Linked DNA regions of Mus musculus. The protein of the gene in region 1 purifies or fractionates together with the protein of each later gene. This does not show direct contact. Links are inferred from orthologs where the notes say so. Each region holds a gene or a part of one and is shown in the gene's direction. Other genes may lie near its edges.

Region 1 (4,300 bases):
GTGAAAGACAAGAAGTTACTTCTCAAGAACAGTTACCATTGTAAGGGAGAGAGAAGGTTCCATCCTTTGATGTTAGAATGGCCAGAGTCTTCATCTTCTATCGTGTGTGTGTGTGTGTGTGTGTGTGTGTGTGTGTGTGTGTACGCGCGTGCGCACGCGCACTATTTCATATGCACAGCGTAGGGGAACCACATGTGGAGGTCAGAATACAATTTGACTGAGTTGGTTCTCTCCTTCCACCATGCTGGTCACACAGACTGTACTCAGGATGTCAAGCTTGGCCACAGCACCTTACCAGATGAGCCATCTTGAAAGCCTAGTCTTCACCCTTTAGGTTTCTTTAAATACAACAGAGAGTTCAGAACTTAAGGCACACGACTAGCCTGTAGTGCTGTCCTTGTTTGCTAACCGTTAAATTTTACTTATATGCATATCTGGTTTTGTTTACTTTTTGTAAATCTTTTCTATAATTAAACAGCATGAAATCTTTGAGAGTTTCCTTTGCAGCTGGTCAGTTCTACCACCCGTATAGGGCACTGACACCCCAGAATCGCAACTGACCCGTGACATTTGAAATAACATTTAAAAATACGTTTATTTTTTACTTTATTAACATTTTGGACACTAATTTTTTGGTCTTGTGAGACAGTGGCCGTCAGTGTAGCTCTAACTGTCCTGAAACTCACTCTGTAGAGCAGGCTGGCCTTGAACTCACAGAGATCTGCTTGCCTCTGCCTCCTGTGTGCTGAGATTAAAGGCGAGCACCCCTGACATCCAGTTAGGCACTAATTTTTGAGCATCAGTGATGTTAAGTAACGATTCACATAAACTTCTCTTTTGTGCGACTAGGAAGTCTATGTTGCAGAATTAATCCACAGCAACGTGTTCCTTTTGAATTTGCAGCTGTTGGCTTTATTCCCTTCATACTGACTTGAAGCCTGGGCCTAATTAAGCACTAAGTATTTAACTGGAGAAGAGGGTGGCTTTTCACAGCTTCCTTCCAGAGGCCCCAAGTCAGATCAAGTAGATCCACAAGTGTGGGCAGGGTCTATCTTTAGGCAAACTCCGAGTCCGGGGTTCTCTCCACTGTTAGGCTAGACTAGACGAGCGTGCACTCCGAGGTGCGCACGTGGAGCGCAGGGAGCCATTTAAACTAGCGAATCCGCGTTCTCTGTGCTGACCCGGTAGACGCTCCGGAGCCCCGACTGTCCTCTTTCCCTCTGGGCGGCCGCCCGGGCGAGCCTCTTCCCCAGAGGGTCGAGGGCACAGTTGGGGCAGTGTGGCGGGCGGGCCCCGCGTTTCCTGTGACAGCGCGGCCCAGCCGCTCCCTCCCGCCGTGGCGGGACCATTTCCTGAGCGTCCGGGCAGAGGCGGCCGGCGCGGCGCTACCATCAGCGCAGGGACGCGGGGGTGCGGCCGGTGAGCGCGTGAGGGCAGCGGGGCGGACCGCGGCGGGACCGGGGGCTCGAGCCGCACCGGCAGCAGTGAGCGTCTTACACTCCTTGCTGGGAGCTGCGGCTCAGCGTTAAGGCCAAGCCGGCCAGCGAGGGACGCGGCCCGGGAGCATCCTCCCCCCACCGCGCGCCCTAAGGTGGAACTGCCCGGAGGCGGGCGTCGGGCCCCCAGCTCCGCGGGCCCTGGAGCGCTCGGGACTCGCTGATCGCGGGCTCGGCGGCAACATGTCTGTGGCGTTCGCAGCCCCGAGGCAGCGGGGCAAGGGCGAAATCACGCCCGCCGCCATCCAGAAGGTGAGCCGGGAGAGGCGCCGGGACGCGGGCCGAGGCGGGGTGGCGTGGGGGCGGGCTGACGCCGGCTTTCCGACGGAGCCCTTTGGCGCCTGCTCTGCCCGCACAAAAGCGCTGGCAACCGCCGCCCGATTTCCCCGCGGGCCGGGTGGCCTCGCGCCGCGGGGCCGTGAAGGAAGCGGCCCCGAGACTCCGGCGTCGCCCCGCCGGGACCCCACGCGCGGAAGCCCGACCCGAGAGTGCTGCGCCGCAAACTCCTCGGAGTTGAGGCCCTCTTCGGAGAACTTGAGAACCTTCCGCAATGTCTCGGGGCAGGCGAGAAAGGAGCCGGGGGGCCTCCGGGGCTCCCCGGGGTCGCTCCCGGGATCGCACCCCGGATCTGTTCCGGTCTGCAGCAGATAGATGCGCCTGAGCGCGCAGGGCGGGCGCTGGGGTTCCGGAGGGCGAGCCTGCTCTCGCTGGCCTAGCGCTGTTGGCCGTCCACAGCGACAGGCGGGCGGTTTGCATGAAGTCACGATCGAAGCGCTGGGAGCTGGGTCCTCAGAGAGTGCCACCCAGTCGCCGCTCCGGGGCTGCCAACTGGAGACACAAAGGTTCTTTATTATCCTCTAAGCCAGTGTCTAAAAGCAAGGCACTATTTAGCTCTCAGCATGGTAGACTTTTGAAAGTCGCCTCCTGTTAAGTTTAGCAGTTTGCCTTGCCCTGAGTATTTCGATCTTGTTCCCTGCCCCGGAGTAAGGTTAAGGGGAGCAAGTCAACCTGTAGTACCAATCGGGGCACCCTTGAAGACCTGTGGGTTACGGCCATCGGTTTCTGTTTACTGTCAGGGTCTTTGTAGTGTGGCATTTGACATTTGCCCAACTGTTGCTTTATTTTTCTTTGAAGAAACCCGCCTGGCAGTGTCTGGAAACGCAGTTGGTTTCTTTAGAGTGCCAGGTTGAGCCAGTAGTCTGGTGAACAGCTTTCTTTAAGCACACACGTGCAGAAAGAATGTTTCTAAGAGGATTCTTTTTGAACTCTAGAAAAAGTCTGGCGCTTTCCTTTTTCTCAGTAGAGTTTTTTTTTCTTTCTTTCTTTCTTTTTTTTTTCTTTCTATTAGTTGCTTATCGTGAGTGATTGATCTAGGTGCTAACTGGTTATATTTCATTCTCAGATGAAAAGTGAAAATGGATTAAAATTCTTTTGTTATTTTATACGTCTGTGTATGTCATGTGCATGCAGTGCTTGGGGAGGTCAGAAGAAACATCAGTTCCCTGAAATGGAGTTAATAGCCTCCTGTGGGGGCTGGAAACCACAGCCAGGTCCTTAGCAAGAGCATTAAGTGCTCTTGTCCTCTGAACCATCTCTCCAGCCCCCCAAAAGCATTACAATTCAAGTTCTGTTTGCAGTGTCAGATGTTGGTTTAGACAGGAGGCAGATGGTTGGGGTTGTTTCATGTGTCGTGGATTCCTTGGTTGAGTATTGAATTGATGGCACTGCCTTCAGGGGCAGGCAGATTTCTGTGAGATTGAGGCCAGCCTGGTCCACAGAGTTAGTTCCAGGGCAGCCGACGCTACACCCTATCTTGATAACAACAACAAAAATAGTAACAACAATAAAAAACAAAAGAATTTTTTTGTATATAGTGATTATATTTAAGAGGCACACTTTAGAAAAGTGTTTGCTCTTAGCAATCGAAGATAATGATAAATGTGCCGGAAATACCAATTCATGGTAATTGGATTTTGTTTTTAATTGAAAATCACGTTAAATGATTTTTGGTTTTGTCATGAAATTTTGAAAGGTGGGGCATGCTTAGGATGCCCCCCTAAATCTTAAGCTCCTACAAACTTGGATAGTGTGCTAGGGACTCCATGTAGGTTTTCTTCTGTAGTGCCATTGGCATAGATGAATTACTTAATCCTCAAAACCAAGGTTGCTTAGATTGTTATAAGATGCTAAAATGATAATCTTATGGTTTTTGGACTTTCTGAGATATCTCAGTTTATTTTACAAACTTCTATTAATAATTACATGCATAGAGATGATTGCTATGTGTCCTTTTGGAGAATCATGAATCTGCACAGTTAGAAAAGAAGCTGAGCCATTACCTCAGGGCCCTTGGGCAGCACTGCTCCTGTGTTTGTTTCCTTCTGGAGAAGAGATTTCCTCCTTCACACTAGAGCATGAGAATGCTCCAGTAGCAACTGCGAGTCCACTTTCAACTAGCAGAAACTACTGTTACAGATTGGAGAGGTAATGAAATGTTTCTGTATTTAAAACAAGACACCCCAAAACAATGGCCTAGAAGATGGTTCAGCTGGGTTCAGGGAGAGAGCCAGTGCTACAGAATTGCCCTCTGACCTCACACCACAGCACTGAGTGTGTGTGTGTGTGTGTGTGTGTGTGTGTGTGTGTGTGAGTGAGATGATTAATACACACTGATGATAAATAAGTCAAAAGAAACACCCTTTTTCCATTCTGAGTTTCAAAGAGAATAATTGAGATAGGTATTAAACAGAATTGATTAAATGTGATATCATTCCACATACACAAAGTAAGATTTTTTTTCTTTT
Region 2 (4,268 bases), on another chromosome or scaffold:
GGCCTCCTCAACCAGACACCCTTCCCAGGCCAGCTCTCCAATCTCATTCCTGGCCTTCTCTGTCCCCACTGTCTCTTGGTCTCTAATCCCAAAACAGGACTTATGGGCAGATCACCTGTGTACGTTGGCCTGGAGCCAGAGAGCAAGGCTTTGGCATCTTTGAGACCTCTTGGTTCTCAAGAGTTGTTTAGAGATCAGAACTCCCCAGAAAGAAACAGGGCAAAGCTGAGAAATGTACACTGGCTGGGGGGGCAGCAGGAGGGGCTCTGGGTGACGCATGCCTCTGGTCTAATAAACTGGGTTTCAACCATCTCTTCAGTGTTGGTTTTCTGTTTGTTGTTTGGTTTGTTTTGAGACAGGGTTTCTCTGTGTAGCCCTGGCTGTCCTGGAACGGCTCTGTAGTCCAGGCTGGCCTCGAACTCTCACAGAGATCCTCCTGCCTCCCAAAATGCTGGGATTAAAAGCCTGAGCTGCCATTATCCTGCCCAGTGCTGTTTTTAGTTGCAAACTGTGGGTGTTACCTTTAGAATGGAGCTTGCCTTGAGAGCCACACAACTAGAGTAAGGGAATTTGAGTGGTAGCCCGGTGTGGTGGTTATACCTGTAATTCCAGCAGGTAGGAGATGGAGCAGCTATCTTCCATTACACAGTGAGTTTAACGCTAGATTGGGCTACACCAGACCCTACATACTTGATCAGGTAAACACTGATCCTGCTGGGAAAAGACAGGCTCAGGATTCGTCTGATCACTGGGCAGGGGACCAGCAGTTATCTATGGCAACAAATATCCAGGACTCTTTGGAGAAAAGTCACGGGAAAAAACGCATCAAAATCTTAAGTTAAACGTCTGAGGTGAAGGGTCCCGAGCCTTCTCTGTGTATCCCTGGCTGTCCTGGAACTCACTCTGTAGACCAGGCTGGCCTCGAACTCAGAAATCCGCCTGCCTCTGCCTCCCAAGTGCTGGGATTAAAGGCGTGCGCCACCACGGCCCGGCATGGGTTTTCTCTTGCTGATTTGTCTTTGCCACGACATTGATCTCCTTCGAGTTCTACTTTTCCCGAACGAACAAACAGCACGTTTTCCTCTTTAGTACCCGGAGTCTGAGCAGTAGGAGAACGAAAAGCAAGGCAACCAGAATGCTTTGGAGAGGTAAATGCACTGGGCCAAGGTGAAGCATCACTCCAGCCGCCAGCCGGATGGGCTGGGCTCTCTGCAAGGCTTTTTACCGTCCTCCAACCGCGTGGAGGCGCTCGCTCCCGGCACCTCTTTATCCGCACACCGCTTCTCTATGGTGCTCCCTCCTGGCCCGTGAAGGCGGGAGGGAGTGGTCAGCACGCCTTTCCCGCTAGTCGCCCCCTCTAGCCCGTAGTCTCGCTGCTCCGAGCCGCCTGTGCCCGCCGGCGGGCCGGGCCCACAAACAGCCCAGGCGCTCGGGGGGCGCGCGGGGGGCGGGGGGAGTTCCGGTTCCGGTTCTTTGTGCAGCTGCAGCGGCGGCTCCGGGAAGATGGCGGCCCGGGCGGGTTTCCAGTCTGTGGCTCCGAGCGGCGGCGCGGGAGCCTCAGGAGGAGCGGGCGTGGCGGCTGCTCTGGGCCCGGGCGGAACTCCCGGGCCTCCCGTGCGAATGGGCCCGGCGCCGGGTCAAGGGCTGTACCGCTCTCCGATGCCCGGGGCGGCCTATCCGGTGAGTGGGACAGGAGGAGGGGCGCGCGGGCCGGGGGCGGGGCCGAGCGAGGGCGGAGGACTGACAGGGGTGAGGGAGAAGTGGGAGGGACTCCCTGGGGAGGGGCTCGGGCCGGGAGTGGAGGTGTGTGGGGGGGGAGGAGGTTAGCATCCTTACCTGCTCCTGGCGGCATTGTTTCCATGTGAGGAGTGAGTGTGGAACCAGGGTGGGCGAAGTGGGCCCTGGGATGGTCATGGAATGCAGAGGGGAGTGGGCAGCCCCCGTGTCCCCAGGAATACCCAGGCTGTTATAGCTGCAAATGGAGGTCAGCTTTAGAGGAGACAGTAGCTAGTAAAAAAAGAAATGTAGGGCTGACTAGACATGTCTGGTGAGTCAGATCCAGCATAGACCAGAAAAATTGAGTATAATCTAGTTTTTAGACTATATGCAATGAAATCACTGAAGGTCCAGTGACTGTATTTCAAAGAAGCAAAGGACTGTCTTGTTGTCCCCCCACCCCACCCCCAGCCCTAACCCACTCCTGAAATCCAGGCTGCCACCATTTTTCCTTTCTTGGTGGGGCTAGCAAGGAAAAGTATGACATTTCTGGGTCCTCTCCCTTCTGTAGAGACCAGGTATGCTGCCAGGTAGCCGAATGACACCTCAGGGACCTTCCATGGGACCTCCTGGCTATGGGGGGAACCCTTCAGTCCGACCTGGTCTGGCCCAGTCAGGGATGGACCAGTCCCGCAAGAGACCTGCACCTCAACAGATCCAGCAGGTCCAGCAGCAGGCGGTCCAAAATCGAAATCACAAGTAAGATGACCCCTGGGGGTGAAGGAAAGAAGGGTATGGGGGAGAGGAGGCCTGTGAGGATGCTGGTGGTGGGCATGCAGAACCAGGAAGTCAGCGCTGTGGCACCAAACGGTGCTGCAGGGACTAACAGGGCCTCATGATGCAGTGGAGTTTTGGTGGTCATGGGAGAGGTAGCGTCTTTAAATGGAGAGTCATTTCGTAGGCCTTGGCTGTAACCATAAACAAAGGTGCTCACAACACTGCTCACGTTCTGACTAGTTCCTATCCCAACCTGATCACAGTATTTATTCTGAACAGTGCAAAGAAAAAGAAGATGGCTGACAAAATCCTACCTCAAAGGGTGAGTGCAGCTGCAGAGGTCTCCTTGAAGGGGTAGTGGCTTTGAGAATAGAAGTGGTCAGAACGAGGGCTGCCCCATCCCATCTCTGTCTTTCTGTTCCTAAGATTCGGGAACTGGTCCCAGAATCACAGGCCTACATGGATCTCCTGGCTTTTGAAAGGAAACTGGACCAGACTATTATGAGGAAGCGGCTAGATATCCAGGAGGCCTTGAAACGTCCCATCAAGGTAACAGGACAGTACCAGGCTGAGGGTCAAGGGAGGGGCCCAGGTCTCTCTCCAGCTCAGGATGGAAAAATCAAAGGCACAGCACAGCTCTCTGTGGCATTTAAATTGCATCTTTCCCTTCCGCCTACAAACCAGGAATTACATTAGGAGCATAGGAGTCTAACAGCTGGCAGGGAAAGGGGCGGGGGTGGGGGGTTGGGGGGGAGCTATCCAGGGCTCTAGACAGAAATAGACCCGTGCGCGCTTTTTGCTGTAACCACTTGCTACCTTGGGAACATGCCACTTTGCACAATTTTGTCTCCCTAGTCCCCTGGTGCATTCACTTGCACCCAGGCTCAGGTCGGGACTGTACACTTCCGAGTGGAGTCTCTGTCCCCTGTAGTGAGCCAGCCAGTGAGGAGTCACTTGGGAGTTTTAGGGGACCTTTACTACCGAAGCTCCACTGTCGATCCTGTTTCTGCCTTCCTCAGCAAAAACGGAAGCTGCGAATTTTCATTTCTAACACGTTCAATCCGGCTAAGTCGGACGCGGAGGATGGGGAAGGGACGGTGGCTTCCTGGGAGCTCCGGGTAGAAGGCCGGCTCCTGGAGGACGTGAGTTCAAGGTCCACTGTGGTTGGTGCTCAGGGAGGGAGCTGCAGGGGTGGCACTGTGCCGGGTGCTTGGTGCGGTGTGCTCAGCAGGAAACCTGACTGCAGTTCACCACTCCTGCTGGGAGCTTCCGGGAGGGGGCTGGGGGGCTGTGTTCCCTGCATACAAAGACAATGGTCCTTTGTGTCTGCTTCCTCAGCTGCACGGTTTTGTCCTGGGGTCTGGGTTGCTGTTGACTTGGCCCTGGTGATGCTGCCCTTTGGATTTAGCAGTATCAGTGGATGATCTCAGTGGTCCCCATCCCTGCCCGCCACCCATCTGTGCTGAGCCTTTGAGGCCATGTTTCCTCCCTTGAATCCTTGAGGTTATTTCTGTGTTCCCAACTTTCCTTGGAGGTACCACAGTTTAAGTGTGAGAGTCCCCCAAAGGCTTGGCTCTCTGTTGCTCCAAGGGGATCATCAGACTAATGAGCACCCCCAAACTCTCCACCCAGCAGCTCATGCTCACCCAGTGCTGCGCTCTGGCACTATATTTAGCTGTGCAAGTGAGCTCGTTCGAGTGCACTTTTGCTGGAGAACCAGAGCCTCCTGTGGGTAGTCCGGGCTGTTTGCTGGTCATGTGTTCTGTCCAGATAAA
Region 3 (4,073 bases), on another chromosome or scaffold:
GGTCCAACATGGACAGAGAGTAGATCGCTTCTAAATCCATTGAAACCGAGGTTTGGTGACTTTGTTAGGAGTTATTTCAAAAGGCCTGGTGGGAACAAAAGCACTCAGTAAGCAGAAGAGAGCCTAGGAAAACAGGGCAGTACAGAATACGAATGAAAATCTGCTTAGAAAGAGTGAAAAGAAATGGGCTGAGATGCAGTGCCAATGGGCTTAAGGGAGTCCTGTTGGTTTCTTCTTCTTCTTGTTTTGTTTTTGTTTTTGCTTTTGTTTTTTTGAGACAGTGCTTCTCTGTGTAGCCCTGGCTGTCCTGGAACTCACTTTGTAGACCAGGCTGGCCTTAAACTCAGAAATCCTCCTGTCTCTGCCTCCCAAGTGCTGGGATTAAAGGTGTGTGCCCCTACCGCCCGGCTGGTTTCTTCTTTAAGGGGAAACATGTTTGTTCATGGATTTGCATAACTCGATACTGAAGGAGAAATAAATAGTATAGAACTAAGAGGGCTAGTCACACCAGTGAAAACTTTCAATGTGGAGAATGGCTTGGTAATAGCAATCAAGGGCTTGTGGGATGACACAGCAGATACGGACTCTGGGCACCACGCCTGACAACCTGACCACCATCCCCCAGGTACAAAGTAGAATGAAAGAACTCACATCCCCAAGCTGCTCTCTCACTCTTACACATATGCTATGGCACATGCACGCACACAAAGACAGACATACAGAGCAAAGGAATGGAGAGAGAGGGAGAGGGGAGAGGGAGAGAGAGGGAGAGGAAGAGGGAGAGAGAGGCAAGCAAGAGAGAAGAGGTGGGTGCCAGTGAAGTTCAAGGACCGGGTTTACTGGCAGGAATTGTCCGAATGAGAGTCAGGCCCAAGAACAGCCCATTTTGGGCACTCACTTTCCATTCTCTAAAATGGGCTGACTGGGAACAGAGGTACCTAAAGGACTGGGACTCTGACCTTTCACTACCTACCCACCAATCTCTCCCTGTGTGTCAACCTCGTGGCTAACGGCCAGCCAGGCAGGACACTGTTTGCAACTTCTAGCCTATCCGCGTGGCCTTTTCACTTACCTTTCTCACTTTCCAACCGAGCCAGATCTCCTAGCTGAGGCGTCACTAAATGGAGGGGAGACGGATCTCTAGAATGAGCTGCAGAGGGCATGTAAGTTTTCCAATCGCGCCTGCGCACTGGGATCCTAGGCTCCTTCAGGACAGGTCGTTCTCGAGCGCTCGCTCTCGTGGGCCTGTGCGTGCGCGCACCCCCTAGCTGCGCCTGCGCAGAGGGTCGAGGACCCTGTGTCCTGAGAAGGCTTAGCGCCTGCGCGTTGTAGGTTTCGGGGCCTCCCGGCCTGAGGGAGAGGAACAGGGAAGATGGCGGCTGTGGTGGAGAATGTAGTGAAGCTGTGAGTGGTCTTTTTTGTTTGTTTGTCTCTTTTTTCTTTTTTAATCTCTCATGTACCAGAAATCTTGTAAAGGACCTGGGAGTAGAGAGGGAGGTGCGGGAAGAGACAAGGTAGAGAGAAGGACATGCCCGGGAAGTCCTTGCTGTGCGACTGCTGGGAGGGAGGGCAACAGGAGACTCGGGAGACGGCGCTGGGCTTCTTTTGGAAACTTGTGGAGGACTGGAGGGGGGCACACCGGAGCCCCCGACGGGTGTCCTCCTCGCGGGCCGAGCCCCGAGCGGAGCTGCGGGCTGCGAAGGAGAGGCTCACGGTCCCTGGCCCCTCTCTGGAGACGCGTCAGTCCCGCCAAGCCGAGGCCGGCGGCACTAGGAGATCGGGGTCCCCTCCCCGCCCACCGCCGTCCCTGGGGCCATAGGCTCCGCCGTCCCTGCGGAGTCCTAAGACTTAAGCAGCCTGGTGACGTTAACCGGGAAATCCGGGGTCCACGAAACTAAAAATGTTCTTGGGAAGAACTGGTCCAAGAGCAGAACTTCGGGGAGTGGGGAACTAGACCGGAGCCAGATGGCCTTCCAGTCCGCAGGAGCCCTGAGGTGGGCGTTCTCTGTCCCCCAGATGCCATTGTGCGGGTCAGATTTCCAGTGGAGCTGAAATAAACGGTTGTTGGGCGACACCGGGAACGGGGACTGGCCTGCTAGTCGCTTCCCCTCAGTTGGAGATGTTTGGATGAGGCTCTTCCTTCCTTCTTGAAGAAGAATCAGAGTTTTGGAACGGGGTGCCCATTGGATTTAAGAATGGCCTTCTCTTCCCTTAATGGCCATGTTAGACGTGATGTAAGGATAGAGAAATTGAAGTGTTTCAGCTGTCCAATCAAAGCTTTTGGATTCTGGATGACAAAGTAAAGGTTTTGGAACCATTCTGGAGGACTTTTCGCAGCTTTATCTGTCTTTGTCGTGGGCTGAGCCCCAATCGTCCCAAGAGGCTTTTAAAAAATTTTTTTTAAGGTTAAGTTGCTTCTTCCCTGCTGCTTGCAGCCCCTTTCTTTGAAAATGCTTTTCCACTTCCATTAAGCTAAGTGCCTTCTCTTGTGGCTTTTTTTTTTTTTTTAATCTCGCTTTTGGCTTCATCCTGCTGCCTATTTCAACCACCCCTCCTCCCAACGCTATTATCTCTGTGATCTGCCCACTCCGGATCCCCGGCTCTCTTCAGGCTGACATTTCCCTCAATTTAGAAATGAGGCTGTTAATTTACCAATTTTATAGTTCTCCTTCTGGACTCAGAAGTTAAGTCTTTATTACCCTGCCTTTCTCTTTGTTGGACCCCCCTTATTCCCCTGGAAGGGGAGTTGTCCTGTGCCCCCTCCCCACCCCCCAGGTTTCCTGTGAAAGGAGGAGTCACAGCTTTTACCCTGAAAATCTTACTGTCTAAAAGAATATGCTTGCCTAGGTTTTCAGAATTAGATGTCAATGGAGTTCTTCATGTTGAAAGATGGTCTGGCAGAAAATGGAGTTGCCAACCCATTGGTGTAGTATTTTAAGTGTTGGGTGCCCATTTAAATAGAGCATTGCTCTTCATGCCTCTTTAACTCACTGGTTCCTGAGTATCAGTGGGGCACTAACTTGCTTCTCCTCAGCTGTAGTGCAGAAGACTGGAAGCTCCTAACATGTTCCCCGGGGAACTTTCCCTTTACAGGGAAGGCTTTGATTCTCACACCATTCTCACTCTGGAAAGATGCCTTTCTGATGCCTTTTTAAAAAAAATAGTATGCTTCTGTCTTCTGTCAGCTGCCATCACTCACTGAGGGAAAGACCACTAGCTCATCTTTTTCATTTTTTGCCGTGTGAGAAGACTTTCTGTCTTAATTTTCTGTTTTTCTCAATTACAACGTCATGGTTGAAATAGTCTTTATAGTGGTCTTATTAGAGTAAATACTAGTGTTAAAATAACCATGGCTGCCAGCTAGTTTTTAAAACTTTCTAGAGTTATATAAGGCTATCCATAGAATAACAGAAGCTTGGAATTTTTTGCTACAGAGTCTTGAATTTGTGTGCACTCTCCTCTTTTGCTCTCTTCACACGCACACATGCACACACTCATGCAGTCTTATCCGGCCATCTTTCCTACTAGAGCACCTGCTTGGCCTTCTAGAATCTTACCTGGCCTGCAGGGGCCCCGACTGGACGTTCCAGTCATCCCTCCAGGCCTCCCTCAGGCTCCGCACTCTGACTTTGCAGTCTTCAGCCCCACAGGGCTGGTCCTTTCTTCCGTTTGACTTCCAGTGTCAGTATCAATTCCCATCAGCAGAAACAAAGGAGCTGCTGCAGTCAGCCTTGTTTATCCAATTTTCCTGTGTGGTAAGGACGTGGCTGCCTCCTAAAGGCGAGCCAGTGTGAGCCTGCTCTCTTCTGTGCTGTGCTCTCCAGCACATTTATCCCTTAATTATAGTTATTCCTGCTCACTGAACCCACTCAGGCTGTACTTGTAGTGTTGCTGTGTGTGCTGTGTTTGCTGGGAACAAACTAAGCTGTGCAGTGGTCTCTTGTGACTGCTCAGTGAAAGTCCCCATCAGAGTCTACATTAGGGCTTGTTGATACAGCTTTAGTAATAGCATTAGACACTGAGACCTTACTCCTTCCTGCTTTTCATGCATTCTTATCCCTATTCTCTTCATC
Region 4 (4,109 bases), on another chromosome or scaffold:
GTTCCAGAATTGAATTTAGGTCGTCACTATTGGCATTACCCGCTGAGCCATTTCACTGCCCTGCTCCATTTTGTTGTTGAGACAGGGTCTCTGTATGTAGTCTTGGAACTCACTATGGTAACAAGCTGGCCTAAAAGTCAGCGACCTCCTGAGTGCTAGGATTACTACCACCCAGAATTAGGTATGGGTGATGTATGTGTGCCACAGTACACAGTCAGGGTGTAACTTCGTGAAGAATTTCACCTTCTACTTTTATGAGAATTCTGGGGTTCCAACTCAGGTTGCCAAGCTTTTTAAGAACTGAGCCAAATACATAACCTGAGACAACTAGTCTCTTTTGTTTGTTCAGGCAGGGAGGGTTTCCTGTAGCCCTGGTTGTCCTGGCTTTCAAGCTCTATGTACATCAGGCAGGCCTGGAACTCAGAAAACCTCCTGCTTCTACCTTATGGGATTAAAGGCGTGCACACTACATCTTCTAGGCTATCTCCATTTTTTTTTAAGGTCTATAAACTCATCACACCTCCTCACTTGGAGCTTCGTGAACATATCATGTTCACGTTTCCAATACAGCCAATACATTGTTTACAATGTAAACTTTCAGCCTTCATATAGCCTTCAAATGTAGATAAAGCGTCCAGTTCCCAACGCGGATGATAAAAACACCAGGTTGAAGAGAGAGCTACAAAAAAAACCGTTGGGTAATTGTGATCACTTGTTCACTCAGGGACTGGTTTTCTGGAATACTTTTAAAGTGATGAATTTGAGAGAGTGCGAATCACAAAGGAAGATAATGTCCAGGTCGCAGAAGTAGCTGGAGCTAGGCCGACTAAGCAGAAACCATCTGATGTGGTTCGAGAAACATTAATGAAGCCCCAAGAAAGACTAGGTCTTTAATGCAGGTCCCCAAACCGACGCGGCCTCCGGGACTAGCAGGAATTGCTTACTAGCGCTCGGGGGCGGGTACGCGGGGGGGTGGGGTGGGGTGGGGCTCGGCTCGCACTGCACACCCTAGACCGCTTTTTCTAGTAGAGATACAGAACCTCCTTGAGATTGTTGACCGCCTAACGAATAGACAAACGGGGCCCGGAAGAGTCATTCGTAGTGTCTACCAACAGCAGAGGCTGAGGCTCAGTTCCGAGAGACCAGAGGAAAAGGCGGGCAGCCTCAGTCCGTAGGGGACTACCGGCGTGCTGCGCATGCGTACGCCCGCTCTCAGTGCCTGTTCGTTGCAGCTTTAGGGTCCAGAAGGGGCGTGGCCGCGCCTCGGCGCCGGAAGAGGGTTGGCTGGGCGGGGCTAGGAGGAGGAGGAGGAGGTGGCATCTGCGCGCGCGCGCGCGGGTGCGAACGGGAAACGCCGCGAGGGCCAGGCTAGGCCGGGCGGTAGACACGACGGACGGTGACTATGGCCGCGACAGCGGGTGGCGGTCCGGGAGCAGCAGCAGGCGCCGTGGGTGCAGGGGGTGCGGCGGCGGCCTCCGGGCTGGCCGTGTACCGGAGGAAGGACGGGGGCCCGGCCAGCAAGTTTTGGGAGAGCCCGGACACGGTGTCCCAGCTAGATTCGGTGCGAGTCTGGCTGGGCAAGCACTACAAGAAGGTGGGTTCGCGCGCGCCCGTGGGGACCGAGGAGCCACGCGACGGGGGCTGATGGTGGCTGCCCGCTTCGCATGTCTGGGGCCGCCCCTCCCCCCCCCCCTCCGCGCGCCACGAGGGACAACAAAGGCCGGCTCGGCGCTTGCCACGCCCCCGCGGGCGACTAGGCACGCGGCGACCTGGCCCCAGCTGCTGGCTCTCTGGGGCCCACGTACTCGCGTGGGAAGCCCCATCTCACTCTCTCTTATGTGCAGGAGAGGTGGAACTGGACAGAGTCGCAGAGCGTGTGTTTCTGTTCTTTTGTTAGCTGCCTTAGGTGTGTGAACAAAGAGCCCATCCTAATAAAAGTATCTTGAAGTTTTGTTTAGAGACCAGTTGTTGAGCGTCTAGGTAACTAAGGGCTTGCTACCCTATGTGGATTAGTAGGGGACCTTGGATGACTGGCCTTGTGGATTCATGTAGGTTTAAACCTTGTATTGTACAATTGATATAGAACTATTAAAAGTGTTGGTTTTCCACTTCATTGTACTTTAGGTGGTGTGTAAGGATGTGAGTACAAGCGAGAGTTAGGTTTTTTTGTTTGTTTGTTTTGTTTTTCGTAGCCCTGGCTGTCCTGGAACTCACTTTGTAGACCAGGCTGGCCTCGAACTCAGAAATCCTCCTGCCTCTGCCTCCCAAGTGCTGGGATTAAAGGCATGCGCCACCACACCTGGCGAGAGCTTAGTTTTTATCATATATATATTTTTTGCAATGTTAATTTTTTTGGGAAAAGTGTGTTTCCCGTACTTTAGAATGCAAATTCTGCTGAGTCAGTTGTTTTACAAAAGTCGTGAATTAACCCTTTGTTGACACTTTAAAAAGAATTACAACTATTTACTTTGGAGGGGTACACACAACTCCTGTTTTCATGTCCACTTAAGCAAATCAATTCTCCTCGAACACCATACTGGTCCAGGAATTGAACTTAGATACTTTTTTTTTTTTCAGAGACAGGGTTTCTCTGTATAGCCCTGGCTGTCCTGGAACTCACTTTGTAGACCAGGCTGGCCTCGAACTCAGAAATCAGCCTGCCTCTGCCTCCCAAGTGCTGGGATCAAAGGCATGGGCCACCCGGCTTGAATTTAGATCTTGATGCTTGTGACAAGTGCTTTTACCCATGTGTTTCCACCTCACTGGCCCCAATAATACCTCTAGTAAAATTTCACCTTTATATAAATGTTGAAAAATGAATCCCTTAGTTGATATGATGAAACATCCAAAACACTTCCTCTACTCTTAAATTAAGTAGTAGTGGTTACCCCATTGCGGACCCAGAGTGGGTGTTGAGATTTACAAGCCTGAAAATGCATCTCCATGTCCTGGCTCATAGTTGACATTTAACTGTCTCACCTTGCATAATAGTTGTTTAGTGTTTGTTGAATGAATGAAAAGTTAAACTAGGACCTGGGGATTTAAATCAGTTTGTAGAGTGTTTGTTTAGCATGGGTTAGGTCTAGAGTTTGAACCCCAGCACCCAGCAGAGAGCCACCAAAACCAGGCATTGGTGGCTCTCTGCTGCAGTCTTTTGAGAGGTGTGAAGTTCAAGGCCATCCTTTGTATGGATGGAAGGTTAAGACAAGCCTCAAGTACCAATATCAGACTCTGTCTTAAAAAACTAAAAAGGGACAGACTAGTCTGAACCATTTCATTCAGTGTCTGCAGCTTAGTGAAGCCTATTTGTGTTTGACAGGGAGCTTGGGTTGCTTTGGTAATACACTGGTGTTTTCAGAAGTGGTCATGTCTCTAAAGCTTTGAAGTCAGAAATACAGTTGACTTATTTCTGCTTGGTGTACCTTACACTTTGTCCTCTTCCTCCTCTCCCTGCTCTCCCGTTTCTGACACCATCTCACTATTTAGTCCAGACTAGCCTCAGACTTAGAAAGAGCTGCCTCCTGTCTTCGCCTAGGATTGTAGGCATGGGCCACACACTGGTTCATTAATTATTTCTATTGCATTTTACAGTGTATTTAGGACATACAAATGTAAAGGTTTCTTTGTGTGCGGAACATGCATGTCAGTGTCCACAGAGGCCAGCAGAGGGCGTCTCATTCCTTGGACCCGGATGTAAACTGTATTATCCGGGTGCTGGGACCTGAACTCTGGTCTTTGGGAAGAACAGTAAGCAGTCTTTTATCCTCTGAGCCATCTTCAGCACTAGAACAGAAATTTAAATATCAGCAATTAATATGAAACAAGTGAGACATGAAAGGTCTCTTTTCTTTCTGCCTGGGCTATAAGACTTCACTTCCAAAAACAAAACAAAAAACCAAAACTCACTGCTCCGAAGCCCCAGAGCTCCTTTTGTGGGCCGCAGATCCTGCTTTCAAGTCTAGAGTTCTGGGATTATGAGGATGAGCCACAGTGGTGGACTCAAAAAAAAAAAAAAGTTTTGGTTTTAGTTTCTCTGTGTGGTTGTTTTGCCTGCGTGCATGTCTCTGTACCAGAGTTTGTCTGGTGTATGTCTAATCTAGAAGAGAGCT
Region 5 (4,034 bases), on another chromosome or scaffold:
TTTGCCTGGAGGACTGTCTTAAGCCCCCAACGCATCAGTAGCCACCATTTTAAGAGAAGTGGTGGGATGACCACGTTTGATTTTCAAACCTCCTGACACTGATCTGATCCGGTGGTTGGATTTGTTCACAACGTAAGTGCCTTTCTTTTCTCTTTTCCTCCTTTTCTCTGGCTAAGTAGACAAGATGCGGCTTCGGCCACTCACTCCACTTTTTATAGCCACACACTTCTGCCCTCTGACTTTAAGTGACCTGGGCAGTCCCCTCCCTTCAGTCTGTTGGTAAAATGGGGGGGGGGGAGATAATCCAGACCTCATGCCCCCAGGGCCTTGTCAGAGAGGGCTAATGAGGGCAGGGCACGGGAGAACCGATAGTTTGAACAATGGTCAGTCCTCCTTTGGGGCTAGCCAAAGGGGGGGAAAAGCAGGGCTCGCTCAGCTGGGTCTCTAGAGCAGGTCTGCAAAAGGCTTTGAAGAAGAAAAGTGCTGCGGAGGTGCTAAGTCGCAGCCAAGAGCCCAGGCCCGGTGCCAGGGGGTCAGGTCCCGGCCGCGGCGGCCGCGGTTTCGGGCTCAGGCCAATTTTGCAGGCGCGGGTAAAGTTCACGCGGCCCGCTCCCTTTGGAGCGGCCGGGAGGGGACAGGCCAGGCTGGGAACGCGGCGAGCGAGGCGGCGCAGGCTCCGGAGGCGCGGGCTCCGGGCCGGGTTTTCCCCGAAGCCTTCGGCGGCGGCGCAGCCGAGCGAAAGAGGCTGAGGGCTTGCCGCCGCCGCCGCGGCTCCTTCTCTCCCCTCCTCCTTTGTGAGGGGAAGGGAGCGAGTCCATTCCACGGCCTGCGCCCGCTCCGCGCTCCAGTCCTGGTTTTTCAGGCGGCCGCGACGGCGCTGGGTAAAATGGCAGTGCTGAGCCTCGTGTCGGAGTGAGGGGGACTCGGAGGAGAGTGGGGCGCTCTAGCTGCTCAGTCCCGCCGCCCGCCCGCCCGCTCTCTCGTTCGCTCTCTCGCCCGCCCGCCCGCCGCCAAGCAGCAGCCTCGGCCCGAGCCGCGGCCGGGGAGGCGAGGCAGGGCGCCCGCCAGAGCAGCGCTCCTACTCTGCCTCCCGGCGCCCCGTCCGCCGCCGCGCGCCCTCCAGCCCGCCCGCCCGCCCGCCCGTCCCGGGTCCCCCCTCCCCCCCCGCTCCCTCCCTCCTTTCCCGCCCCCTCCCCCTCGCCTCCCTCCCTCCCTCCCTCCTCCTTTCTCCGGCAGCAGAAAGCGGAGAGTCACAGCGGGGCCAGGCCCTGGGGAGCGGAGCCTCCACCGCCCCCCTCATTCCCAGGCAAGGGCTTGGGGGGAATGAGCCGGGAGAGCCGGGTCCCGAGCCGCCAGAGCCCGGAGCAGCTGAGCCGCCGGCGCCTCGGCTGCCGCCGCCGCCTCCTCCTCCTCCTCCGCCGCCAGCCCGGAGCCTGAGCCGGCGGGGCGGGGGGGAGAGGAGCGAGCGCAGCGCAGCAGCGGAGCCCCGCGAGGCCCGCCCGGGCGGGTGGGGAGGGCAGCCCGGGGGACTCGGCCCCGGGGCGGGGTGGGAGGGGGGAGAAGACGAAGACAGGGCCGGGTCTCTCCGCGGACGAGACAGCGGGGATCATGGCCGCGCAGGTCGCCCCCGCCGCCGCCAGCAGCCTGGGCAACCCGCCGCCGCCGCCCTCGGAGCTGAAGAAAGCCGAGCAGCAACAGCGGGAGGAGGCGGGGGGCGAGGCGGCGGCGGCAGCGGCCGAGCGCGGGGAAATGAAGGCAGCCGCCGGGCAGGAGAGCGAGGGCCCCGCCGTGGGGCCGCCGCAGCCGCTGGGAAAGGAGCTGCAGGACGGGGCCGAGAGCAATGGGGGTGGCGGCGGCGGCGGAGCCGGCAGCGGCGGCGGGCCCGGCGCGGAGCCGGACCTGAAGAACTCGAACGGGAACGCGGGCCCTAGGCCCGCCCTGAACAATAACCTCCCGGAGCCGCCCGGCGGCGGCGGCGGCGGCGGCAGCAGCAGCAGCGACGGGGTGGGGGCGCCTCCTCACTCGGCCGCGGCCGCCCTGCCGCCCCCAGCCTACGGCTTCGGGCAAGCCTACGGCCGGAGCCCGTCTGCCGTCGCCGCCGCGGCGGCCGCCGTCTTCCACCAACAACATGGCGGACAACAAAGCCCTGGCCTGGCAGCGCTGCAGAGCGGCGGCGGCGGGGGCTTGGAGCCCTACGCCGGGCCCCAGCAGAACTCGCACGACCACGGCTTCCCCAACCACCAGTACAACTCCTACTACCCCAACCGCAGCGCCTACCCCCCGCCTCCCCAGGCCTACGCGCTGAGCTCCCCGAGAGGTGGCACTCCGGGCTCCGGCGCGGCGGCGGCCGCCGGCTCCAAGCCGCCTCCCTCCTCCAGCGCCTCTGCCTCCTCGTCGTCTTCGTCCTTCGCACAGCAGCGCTTCGGGGCCATGGGGGGAGGCGGCCCCTCAGCGGCCGGCGGGGGAACTCCCCAGCCCACCGCCACCCCCACCCTCAACCAACTGCTCACGTCGCCCAGCTCGGCCCGTGGCTACCAGGGCTACCCCGGGGGCGACTACGGCGGCGGGCCCCAGGACGGGGGCGCGGGCAAAGGCCCGGCGGACATGGCCTCGCAGTGCTGGGGGGCTGCGGCGGCGGCGGCGGCGGCGGCAGCGGCCGTCTCGGGAGGGGCCCAACAAAGGAGCCACCACGCGCCCATGAGCCCCGGGAGCAGCGGCGGCGGGGGGCAGCCGCTCGCCCGGACCCCTCAGGTACACAGCCGAGCGGGGAGGGGGCTGGGGCCAGCGGGGCCGGGGGGTGGGCTGGGTGGCGGCTGCGGGGAAGCAGGCCCCGGCCGTGGGCTCCCCTCGGGCTTGGGCCCCCACTGCCGGGGAGCTGCCATTGTCTGGCTCTTCTCTCTTAAAATGGCTGCCTGTCTGCCTTCCTCTCCTTCCCTCGATCAGCCTTTGTGTGGGGCTTTTCCAGGGGTGTCTGTCCGGTTTCTCCTCCTCCGCTGGTCCTTTCGAACTCTGGGGGTCTCCAGGGGGGTGCAGAGCAAAGTGTGCCTGGAAGGGCCAGGCCCGGTCGCGGGGGGGGGTGCTGGGGGTTCAGGTTAGGGGTGTAGGCAGTGTCATGAATCCGGGAGAAAGAAGCAACGTTTTCTTGCTCACCTGCCGCTCCTCTGATCCCCCTTGCCTTCCTCTAGGCCGTTCCCCAATATACGCTTTTAAAGAGTGGCCCCTAGGGCTCGGGGGACCTCGGGGGAGAGCTGGGGCCTGCTTGGGGGCAGCTCGAGGCCGACTGTGGTTCGCTCTGGGCCGCCGGGGCCACCTCTTGCCTCAGTCTCCGGCGGCCCAGTGGCCTGGGCTTCTCTCTGAAGTGCTGGTAAACACAGAGTGATTGGAGTAGTAAGTGCAGATTGCTTTGGTTTGGGATTTGAATTATGGAGGTAAAATCCTTCTGTCAAAGCCAGGAGACAGTTGGTCTTAGGTTGACATCCTATCTGTGATCTGATTGGCTCCCCATCTTCTGCTCTTGGCCATTTATAATTGCCTCTGATGTAATGGTACAACAATCCTGATGAGCTCATAAACTTTTACACTCTGCTTTTCTGCCAGTGATAACCCAAACCTTCGCTGCCACTATCCGCCTTTTATTCCAGAGCTGAAATTGGCTGTGACCTTGAGGAGGGAGGTTTAAGCAGCAATACTGTATCAGCAGGAGCAGAGTCCCAGACAGGCTGCCCTTGTTACATTGTGCCTGAAACAAAAGAGGAGGCGATGGCATTTTGCTTGCACCTTGGATTTATTTTGCTTGTTATGTTTTATGCAGTCTGAAATAGATTCTGTGTTGTTGGAACAGTAGCTGAGTTTTTCTCTACAATGGGTTTGCTGTTTGTTTTCGTTTTTGTTACTTTCCTGATGGTATAAATGAGTTCTTTGATGGCGCTGAAGATACATTTGTCTTGAGTAGTTTTTGACACTGTTCACTTATACTGTTGAGTTACAGAACTGAAATTATTTTACTGGCTATTTTTTTATGAAAAGCAAATGTA

What was found.
Region 2: the proteins of Ss18 (region 1) and Smarcd1 purify together in Homo sapiens (affinity purification with mass spectrometry; 5 studies listed by BioGRID and IntAct, counting the BioPlex papers as one, with this or other methods). This does not show direct contact. The link is inferred for Mus musculus from reciprocal best matches to the Homo sapiens genes SS18 and SMARCD1.
Region 3: the proteins of Ss18 (region 1) and Dpf2 purify together in Homo sapiens (affinity purification with mass spectrometry; 4 studies listed by BioGRID and IntAct, counting the BioPlex papers as one, with this or other methods). This does not show direct contact. The link is inferred for Mus musculus from reciprocal best matches to the Homo sapiens genes SS18 and DPF2.
Region 4: the proteins of Ss18 (region 1) and Smarcc1 purify together in Homo sapiens (affinity purification with mass spectrometry; 4 studies listed by BioGRID and IntAct, counting the BioPlex papers as one, with this or other methods). This does not show direct contact. The link is inferred for Mus musculus from reciprocal best matches to the Homo sapiens genes SS18 and SMARCC1.
Region 5: the proteins of Ss18 (region 1) and Arid1a purify together in Homo sapiens (affinity purification with mass spectrometry; 7 studies listed by BioGRID and IntAct, counting the BioPlex papers as one, with this or other methods). This does not show direct contact. The link is inferred for Mus musculus from reciprocal best matches to the Homo sapiens genes SS18 and ARID1A.

What each region holds. Positions count from the first base shown.
Region 1 is NC_000084.6:14,680,115-14,684,414, reverse strand, and holds the start of Ss18 (protein SSXT), read left to right. Parts: upstream 1-1,500; 5' UTR 1,501-1,679; coding exon 1,680-1,748; intron 1,749-4,300. UniProt on the Homo sapiens protein: Appears to function synergistically with RBM14 as a transcriptional coactivator. Isoform 1 and isoform 2 function in nuclear receptor coactivation. Isoform 1 and isoform 2 function in general transcriptional coactivation.
Region 2 is NC_000081.6:99,700,819-99,705,086, forward strand, and holds the start of Smarcd1 (SWI/SNF-related matrix-associated actin-dependent regulator of chromatin subfamily D member 1), read left to right. Parts: upstream 1-1,468; 5' UTR 1,469-1,503; coding exon 1,504-1,680; exon of another isoform or gene 1,681-1,972; intron 1,973-2,287; coding exon 2,288-2,475; exon of another isoform or gene 2,476-2,684; intron 2,685-2,772; coding exon 2,773-2,815; exon of another isoform or gene 2,816-2,919; coding exon 2,920-3,042; intron 3,043-3,512; coding exon 3,513-3,635; intron 3,636-4,268. UniProt on the Homo sapiens protein: Involved in transcriptional activation and repression of select genes by chromatin remodeling (alteration of DNA-nucleosome topology).
Region 3 is NC_000085.6:5,910,072-5,914,144, reverse strand, and holds the start of Dpf2 (zinc finger protein ubi-d4), read left to right. Parts: upstream 1-1,273; 5' UTR 1,274-1,372; coding exon 1,373-1,404; intron 1,405-4,073. UniProt on the Homo sapiens protein: Plays an active role in transcriptional regulation by binding modified histones H3 and H4. Is a negative regulator of myeloid differentiation of hematopoietic progenitor cells. Might also have a role in the development and maturation of lymphoid cells.
Region 4 is NC_000075.6:110,130,715-110,134,823, forward strand, and holds the start of Smarcc1 (SWI/SNF complex subunit SMARCC1), read left to right. Parts: upstream 1-1,309; 5' UTR 1,310-1,402; coding exon 1,403-1,594; intron 1,595-4,109. UniProt on the Homo sapiens protein: Involved in transcriptional activation and repression of select genes by chromatin remodeling (alteration of DNA-nucleosome topology).
Region 5 is NC_000070.6:133,751,186-133,755,219, reverse strand, and holds the start of Arid1a (AT-rich interactive domain-containing protein 1A), read left to right. Parts: upstream 1-1,234; 5' UTR 1,235-1,608; coding exon 1,609-2,751; intron 2,752-4,034. UniProt on the Homo sapiens protein: Involved in transcriptional activation and repression of select genes by chromatin remodeling (alteration of DNA-nucleosome topology).